Linked DNA regions of Neurospora crassa OR74A. The protein of the gene in region 1 interacts with the protein of each later gene in a biochemical or structural test. Links are inferred from orthologs where the notes say so. Each region holds a gene or a part of one and is shown on either strand. Other genes may lie near its edges.

What was found.
Region 2: the proteins of NCU04790 (region 1) and NCU09161 form a complex in vitro, tested with the Schizosaccharomyces pombe proteins (2 studies listed by BioGRID). The link is inferred for Neurospora crassa OR74A from reciprocal best matches to the Schizosaccharomyces pombe genes sup35 and dom34.

What each region holds. Positions count from the first base shown.
Region 1 is NC_026506.1:822,185-827,299, forward strand, and holds NCU04790 (eukaryotic peptide chain release factor GTP-binding subunit), read left to right. Parts: upstream 1-1,659; 5' UTR 1,660-1,772; intron 1,773-1,853; 5' UTR 1,854-2,082; coding exon 2,083-2,413; intron 2,414-2,474; coding exon 2,475-4,279; intron 4,280-4,334; coding exon 4,335-4,391; 3' UTR 4,392-4,881; downstream 4,882-5,115. Other genes in the region: NCU04789 (RanGTP-binding protein), read right to left, coding at 1-729, 809-843, 939-1,118. UniProt on the Schizosaccharomyces pombe protein: GTPase component of the eRF1-eRF3-GTP ternary complex, a ternary complex that mediates translation termination in response to the termination codons.
Region 2 is NC_026503.1:207,528-211,744, forward strand, and holds NCU09161 (translation factor pelota), read left to right. Parts: upstream 1-1,919; 5' UTR 1,920-2,229; coding exon 2,230-3,453; 3' UTR 3,454-3,516; downstream 3,517-4,217. UniProt on the Schizosaccharomyces pombe protein: Component of the Dom34-Hbs1 complex, a complex that recognizes stalled ribosomes and triggers the No-Go Decay (NGD) pathway.

The DNA.
Region 1 (5,115 bases):
AGATCTTCAATGATCTCCAAGTGATAGGCATACTCGTCTGGGCGGCCAAGCATCGAAAGGGCCGAATCAACGGCAGCAGAGTACGCGTTTACGGGTCCATCAGAAGACTCACCGGGGCAGTATCCGCGAGTCTTGTCAAACTTCCAGCCTAGCGGTGTGCGAACCAGCCGTACACGAGCCTTGTGCACCACCTCTTGCCAGATGGGTTTCCGTTCACCTTCGCCAACACCATATGATGGCTCCCTGGTCCATGTCTTGCCTCCAGTGCTAGGAGTGGCAGGAACGGAACTGGCACTTTTCAGCCTGGAATGGCCGCGGAAGAGCATGTAAAGAGATAGTGTGAAAGAAGGCCCGATGGGGACTGCTCGGTTAGGGTTGTTCACAAAGTGTGAGTCCCCGAATGACAAGAAGGCACTCGCCTGCATCAGTCTCGACGGAGAGATGCCAGCGTTCACTGTCGTGTTCATCCTCTCTCCCGAGGCCGTGATGGCGAGTTGGATCAGAGGGATCTCTCTGTCTATGCGGGCCAGTAGTTCCTTCATCTCCTTGATAATGGTTAGCAGCTCAATATGATGAGCTTCCGACATGCGGGCTTTCTTGCCATCGGAGCGGGAGCTCTCTTCGGCAGTAGCAGCATCGTTTAGGCGCTTCCCGAGAGAAATGATGTCTCGATGGAGAGACTTGGCAAGAGGCACAGCAGCCTCGAGGAAGACATTGCCACGGCCAGATCTTGGACACAGCGTTAGTCACATTCTTGTAAGGGCCAAGGACAAGGTAAGTAGTAAGAAGAGAGGTAGGTTGGGCATACTTGAACTCGATCAGGTCGATAGCTGGTGAAACAATCTGAAGTGGGGAATATTCGTATTAGCAAGGGGTGTCATGTCTTTGTTGGAAGGGGCTTTAGCATTGTTGGGTTCGGAATAATAATGGCCACTCACCTTGATCTTACTATCCAGAAGCTTCTGCAGCTTCTTGAGCTCGGTGTACACTCCTTTGTCGTCGACCGTCTTGAGCAGCCTCGAGCACTGGTTGACGGCGTAGGTGGAAGTGATTGCGATGCCTGATCTGATGGCGTAGTTGACCGCATGAGACCCGAGCTTGGCCAACAGTGCGTCCATGATTTGCTCAAGTTAAGAATGTGTGGATGGTTATTTGATTGGTACGGTGTATATCATATTCAGTTCCTGTCCTATTTGATAGTTTTATGTACGGAATCAGGTAGGTAGAGGTACCTTACTGTAATGCTCTCCGGCAGCAAGTGAACTTGAACGAAGCGATGCCTAATTGTTAGTGTTCGTCCCGTCCGTTTGACGTTCAGGTCCTCAAGAGTGACGTTGGTTGGCGGGTCCAGGCTTCTTTTCGTCCGGGTCTCTTTTGGGTTCACGGCCCGGCCTGGGACAGTGCATGTGCCAAGAGAGACCAGGGGTTTAGTCTGTTGCAGAGGTTCGCACTGTGATCCTGCTGATCCCATTCCACTGAATGCTGGCTTTGGGCGCACTTCTTCGGCGAGTGACTCCCCGAGTCGCACAGTGTGTGGCGGCAGTTCCGTCCTAGCGCACACAGTAGACAGCGGGACAAAAAATTGTCATGTACCCCGCCACCACTCACTGCACGCCCTCCCCAATCAACGGTGGGGCCCTACAGCCCTTGCCAGCGTTAGGTTTCTTGATCCAAATCTCTCTTCGACTTGTTCCCTCGCTCGCTACGTAGTTGGACGCGCCGACTGGACTGGTCACTCAGAGTACTACAACCAAGTACAGGTCGTCGTCAGGGTAAGTACCTACGGTGTATAGAGGCAGTTGATATAGGGCTGTCTGTGGTCGCATTAGCTTACCATCATTTCTGTCTTCTAGTATAAATCATCCATCTCCATCTCCTGACTTCAGGATTCCCTCCTCGCGCAAGGGACCTACCTTATTTATACACACCCACGTCGCTACCCAGCCGACAGAGTCGGGATTCATCTTTGCTGACCATCAGCTTTATTATCACCACTCTCCAGCCCACGAGCGAGACCCCGAAACCAGACACATTTCTACCGGCACCTTCTCGAGAATCACACGCGACCGCTATCTATCCAACATGTCCGGAAACGTTCAGAACAACTGGGAGGAGGCTGCCGACCAGGATGAGCGCCTGGCGCGCCAGACCCAGCAACAGATGAACATCAACGCTGGTACCTTCCGCCCCGGTGCCGCTGCCTTCACCCCCGGCGCCCCCTCCTTCACCCCCGGCCAGTTCGCCGCTCCCGGCTTCACTCCCCAGTACCAGCAGCAATATTACGGCGGCGCCCAGCAGGGCTACGGCGGTGGCTACCCCCAGTACGGCCAGCAGGGCTACGGACAGTACAACAACCAGCAGCAGCAGGGCTATGGCGCTGTTTACGGCCAGCAGGGATATAACCAGGGCTACGGTAGGCCGCCGCTTGTTCGTACAGTCTTTGATCGAGGAATCTAACTGATAGACGTGGATAGCAGGCCAACAACAACAACAACAACAACAACAACAATACGGTGGTTACCAGCAGAACCAGGGCTACCAGCAGAGGCAACAGCAGAACCGCGATGCGCCCAAGCCTGCCCCTCAGATCGTCAAGAGGCCAGAGCAGCCCGCTGCCCAGGCGCAACCAAAGGCCGACGCCCCCAAGACCGCTGCCGCTCCCGTCAAGGTTCTCAGCGTTGGAGGCGATGCTCCTGCCAAGGTTTTGAGCATCGGGGGTGATGCGCCCAAGCCCGCGGCCAAGGTTCTCTCCATCTCCGGCACTGCTCCCGCCAAGGAGGAGCCCAAGAAGGAGGCTGCCAAGAAGGAGGGTACCGCTGAGGCCGCCGCCAAGGTTACTGCTACCAAGGCTGTGCAAAAGACCGAGTCTGCTGCTGCTAGCGGCAGGACTTCGCCCGCTCCCTCTTCGGGCCGTGCCAGCCCGTCGGCCGCCAAGTCCGGCAACAAGGTTTCGCGCGACGTCGATGCTGTTGAGAAGGATATTCAGTCCGCCGATGTTGACGAGGATACCCTCAAGGAAATCTACGGCAAGGAGCACATGAACATCATCTTCATCGGTCACGTCGATGCCGGCAAGTCTACCCTCGGTGGTGCCATTCTCTACGTCACCGGCATGGTCGACCAGCGTACACTTGACAAGTACAAGAGGGAGGCTAAGGATATGGGTCGTGAGACTTGGTACCTCTCGTGGGCTCTTGACTTGACCAACGAGGAGCGTGCCAAGGGCAAGACCGTCGAGGTTGGTCGTGGTTTCTTCGAGACCGACAAGCGCAAGTACTCCATTCTCGATGCCCCCGGCCACAAGACCTATGTCCCCAACATGATTGGTGGTGCTTCCCAGGCCGATGTCGGTATCCTCGTCATCTCCGCCCGTAAGGGTGAGTACGAGACCGGTTTCGAGAAGGGCGGTCAGACCCGTGAGCACGCCATGTTGGCCAAGACCCAGGGTGTCAACAAGCTCGTCGTTGTCATCAACAAGATGGACGACCCTACCGTCAACTGGTCCGAGGAGCGCTACAAGGAGTGCACCACCAAGCTTGCCCAGTTCTTGAAGGGTACTGGTTACAACCTGAAGACGGATGTCTTCTTCATGCCCGTCGCTGCCCAGCAGACCATGGGTATCAAGGACCGCGTGCCCAAGGATCTTTGCCCCTGGTATGATGGCCCCTCGCTGCTTGAGTACCTCGACAACATGAGCTCTCTCGAGCGCAAGGTCAACGCCCCCTTTATGATGGCTGTTTCTGGCAAGTACCGTGATATGGGTACCATGATCGAGGGTAAGATCGAGGCCGGTGTGATCAAGAAGGGTATGAGCTTGATCATGATGCCTAACAAGCAGTCGATTGAAATCTCGGCCGTCTACGGCGAGACGGAAGATGAGGTTCCCGTTGCCCAGTGCGGTGAGCAAGTCCGTCTCCGTCTCCGTGGCATCGAAGAAGAAGAAATCATGCCCGGTTTCGTCCTTTGCTCGCCCAAGCGTCTTGTCCACAACGTCACCGCTTTCGAGGCTCAGATCCGTATTCTTGACCTCAAGAGCATTCTGACTGCCGGTTTCAACTGCGTGCTTCATGTTCACGCCGCCATCGAGGAGGTTACTTTCGCCGCTCTCCTCCACAAGCTTCAGAAGGGCACCAACAGGAAGTCCAAGCTTCCTCCTTCGCACGCCAAGAAGGGCGACAGCATCATTGCTCGTCTCGAGGTTACCGGTGGTGCCGGCTCCGTCTGCGTTGAACGGTTCGAGGACTACCCCCAGATGGGTCGTTTCACCCTCCGTGACCAGGTATGTTATTTCTTGTCTGTTGCTTGACGTGAAATTGGACTAACACATTTTGTAGGGTCAAACCATCGCTATTGGCAAGATCACCAAGCTCATTACCGATACCTCTGCTTAAATGGCCAAAAGAAGGTTGGTGTTCTCGGCGAATTTGAGCAAAAAAACTGCACCGCTCGAGTCAAAAATGTAAAAGGGATCAAGTAGGCTTTGCATTGGTTATTTGCTTGAGCGCGGGGAAAGCCTTAGCAAGGGTTCTGTTTACGTTTTTCGAAACGAAGCATTGGGGATATAGAGCAAAATACCAGTTGGAATGAGAAAGCTTTGTTGCGTTTGGGAAGTCCGGATGGCTTGGTCTACGTGTCCAAGTTCTTTTCGCTTGACTTGACGGTGACTTTTGTTTGCCCAAACCTCTACACTACTTTGGACCCGGAGGATATACGGATATACCCGTACCGGGGACCCAGCTCATTGACGATCATTCAATCGGGACTGATGTCCCAAGAAAGCCAAGCTGTAACTGACGCTAGTCGACCATCCCAACTGAAAAACTCCCCGAGGAACATGCGGGGAGAGCGGGACCGATGACGAGCTATTCCCGTCGGAAGGAGATGCCGAACGGGCCCAGGAGGAGGGGCCGATTCAGCGGGTCCACTCCGGAGGCTACCGAGCGTATGAGGGGAAGAGCAGCTGAGATGAGTCTAATGTGTATGACAATGACCGCAGCTTCCTTGATACATATTTGATTTGTAATTTCATCGTCGGTTATAAAAGACACCCGCGGAACCGAAGAAGGTGTGACAGTTTACTAAGTAGAGAAACTCCGTCCCAAGAACTCACAGACT
Region 2 (4,217 bases), on another chromosome or scaffold:
AGTGCAAAGAGATGCCGTCTCCATGACCCCCCCCTTCCTCGGCCGCGTATAACCCATGGATTGAAATACATTAAGCAGCTACCTCAACTGATGAGCCAAACATGGCCCACAATATCCGGTCCCTCCCCGTTTATTCGGCGCCGCGAAAAACGCCCGGTAACATATGAAAATGACACTGTGACTCAAACATCCCAAACCCATGAATTTCCACGCGCTAACCGCGAGACAGCGCTGCGGCTTGAATCGATCTGTTCTCGCTCCCTTTCACCTGAGCAAACAGGTGAGTGTCGCTTCATTCCCAGTCCCTCTCCCGGGCATCAGATTTGCTAACAGAAACTCCGAAACAGGCTTAGCGGCCGCCTTCGTTGTCCGAGTGGTCCGTGTTACCGGCCACCACCCGGTTCGGTCCTGCGCAGCTATCTCCGCGGAGCTTCTCATGTCCCGTCCGGCTGGCGCGCCGTTCGAGTCTGGTGGCCTTTTTTCATTTATTTACGAGAGTTTGTAGTGTGAAATATGTGGCGTGGATTTCGGTTCCGATCCTTTTAGTCCTGTCGTTCGTAAGCCCACAGGATGAAACACGCTGTTCATTAGCACCCATCTTGATGAAGTTGGGAACTGATAAAGACCATGTATCTGGCATAGCCCCCCCTAGCTCCCAAACAGCACTTCTGTAAATATGCCCTTTCTGGAGCCTTAGCGCGAGTGTGATACCTGGAGAACTCCTCAGTAATGGTACGTAGGGAAGGTTGAGATAGGGTAAGTTGTGAAGCGCTGAGGGAGAAGGGAAGAGCGCGCGCAGGCGAGCATGGGGTAATTGTCGACGTCAACGCCGAGACATGCTACGGGCAAGAGAAACGACATGGACTACTTGCTGAGGATAAAATTGGGGTTCGGATAGCGGAAAGTGACGAGAGGGCCAGGGCCATGAAGGCGTCAAATCTGAGCTGTTGATGTTGTGGAATCACATGTGGCGGATGCTGCATGGGAATGGTCGTCACACAAATCGAATAATGTATGGATAGTCCAGTTCTACCAGCCGTCACGGCCAAGAACGGCCCTACCATGTCATCTGTTCAGGTCTAGCCTCGTTTGGCCGGTCTGGGTTCTGGATGATGAACTTGGTGAGAGCGGAGTGGGGTCGAGCTGCGTTGGGTGGAAGCGGAGAAGAAAGAGGGAAGTTGAGGACAAGTTTGTGAGAGGGAAGAAAACAGAGTGCCCGCCGAGGAACAACTACATACATTGGTTGTATCCTTGTTAGTGTCCTGGGGTAACTCTGTAGGAAACGTTAACATTGGTCGCTGTAGGGGGTGGAACTTGAGAAGCTATCAGTTTAGTAGGGCATTTACTAGCAAAAGTGCTAACAACGGGTTCCGACAAGATCGGATTGCGAGCCAACAAGTTAATGTCCGTAAACAGAGGAGTTGATGTTTCACCACCTACAGGCTTCTGGTCACTTAACTCTTATGATAGCTGAAAACACAAACTTCCTTTTCTGTATTCTCAGATATAAAGATAGTTTTAGGCACGAGAGCATTGCTGGCATTTCAAGATGCCTAGCTCGTCCTGGACAAAATCATTGGGACCTGTAATATTATACCTTGGGTACCTACTACGCATCCAAGCGTCTTTGTAACACCTCTAGTCTTGAGTTCTAGGCAATCCCTTAACAAAAATATCCAAATGGGACTTGAGCCAATTTCTTTTCGAACTGGTATAATCCCTTTTATAGTTTGGCAACGGCCTTCTTTTTATTTTTGACGAGCGGTAGTAGACTGATTTACCTACCTACCTAACCTGCTGGTTGGTCTCATTTATTTTGTCTTGGATGAGCCCAGCAGGACTGTAACACAGGATTACCCCGCTAAAAAGCAGTGGTGCTCAATTAGGTCGGGTACCCCACACTCAGCCCACAGCACTTCCCTGCCCAAGCCAAGCAGCTTTTTCCACTTCGTCATCTTTCAGTTCCAAATCGACTGACCTTGACCAATTCCACCACCACCAGCACCACCACCACGACTGCGAATCGCAACATTGCGAGAAACTACAATACCAAAACGACGAGCACCGATAGAAGTACTCGAGTTAACTACGGGAGGATACCTACACACCCTTTATTAGCGGTCTCCGATCCAACGCGCAATCTACCTCGTCGTCGACCTACCTCTCGACCTACCCATACCCTACTCAACACTATACACATCGCCGATTGACTACTTTTCCCCGCCCAGGATGCGCTTCACTAACCCCAAACACTCCCTCTCGACGCTCGACCCCTCTGGCGAATCGCCCGTCTCCCTCCTCCCCACGACGCCCGAAGACATGTGGCACGCACACAACCTGATCGCGCCCTCGGACCTCTTGCGCGCGCACGCCATCCGCAAAGTCGTCACCACGGGCTCGACGGGCTCTACGACGTCGGACCGCGTACACACCGACCTCACTATCCGCGTACAATCCGTCTTCTTCGACCCAGCCGCCTCGTCTCTCCACGTGTCCGGCACCGTCTGCCAAGAGAACCAATACGTCAGCTTAGGCCAGCACCACACTTTGGACCTGGAACTCAACCGGCCCTTTCAGCTATGGAAGCACAGCGGGTGGGACTCGGTTTCCCTCAAAATGCTGGAGGAGGCGGTGGCGGAGGACACGGGCGAGGCCATGTGCGCGGTGGTGATGCAGGAAGGGCTGGCGAATATCTGTCTGATTACCGAGTTCCAGACGGTCGTCAAGCAGCGGGTGGAAGCCAACATCCCCAAGAAGCGGGCGGGCGGGTCGGCGAGCCAGGGCGGCATGACGAGCTTTTACGAAAAGACGCTGGCGACGCTGCTTCGCACTGTGGATTTCTCGCAGCCGCGGCCGTTGTTGTTGGCGAGTCCCGGGTTTGTGGCGCAGGATTTTAGGGGGTATATGCAGAGCGAAGGACAGAAGAGGACAGACAAAAAGTTGCAGAGGATGGCGAAGGATGCGGTGGTTGTGCACAGCAGTACGGGGTATGTGCATAGCTTGAATGAGGTGCTGAAGAGCCCGGAGGTGCAGGCGACAATGAGGGATAAGCGGTTCACGGGCGAGACGGCGTTGATGGACCAGTTGTACGATCGACTGAGGAAGGATGATGGGAGGGCGTGGTATGGTGCGAAGCCGGTGGAGCGGGCGGTGAAAGAGGGTGCGGTGGGGAGAGGAGGGGGTGTGTTGTTGATCAATAACAAGTTTTTCAGGAGTCTGGACATCAAGACGAGGAAGAGGTTTGTGGCGTTGGTGGACAAGGTCAAGGAGGATGGAGGCGAGGCAAGAGTGTTGAGCAGTGATCACGAGAGTGGGCAGCGGCTGGATGCGCTGGGCGGTATTGCTGCGATCCTCACGTATCCAATTTATGACTTGGATGAGGATGAGGTGGAGGAGGGTGGTGAAGGGGAAGAGTCAGGGGCGGCGGCGGAGGAGGGAGCCATGATTATATGATGGATGTTATCCTTGTTTACAGCGGAAAATTCAAGCCCAGTCTTTTGAAAACTCACTTCAAACCTATCTTCTGATTGTTATGCTGTATATCTCTGACATGGTGATGCACAGCTTTGGTGTTTTGCTGCGACTCTCCGCTTCTCGGCCTGGACCTCCGATTATTACCAAAACGACCGACGTCATTTCCAAACAGGACGGGAATTGGCATGTGCTCTGGAAACAAGGTGGGGCAAATAAGCGATCCGATTCCACGAGGTTTGATTGGAGCGCATTGCTCAATCCAAAGCTTCATGGGTGGGTAGATGTATCCGCGATTGAAGGTTTGTGTAATCTCGCGTTGATGTTTATGTCGACCAAGCTCTATTATATATGTTTCATGATGGTGGATAGTAGTCCAGATCGGTGTGTGGATGTGAAGACTTAGTTGTTAGTAACAAATTGGGCCAGTTCCAGACATGAACTTTGGTCCAACCTTTGTTGTCCATCTCTAAAAGGAAGCAAGCATGATCTCGGAAAAGGCACAAAGTCCATCCTCCATCTACCCGGCACATCCCTCAATCAGGTGACGCCCATCTACCCGGAAGATCCGACTTTGTGCTTCATGGTACCTTTCGTGCCTCGCTGCCGTTGTACAACTTTCGCATCTTTCCACTTCCCTTTCTACTTCCCATTCCCCTCCCTTTTACCTTAGTCCAGGCACAGTAGCAATAACTTACTATAGTACATTAGTTTGTATTTGTGTCTGTATTCTCTAGTCACGATTG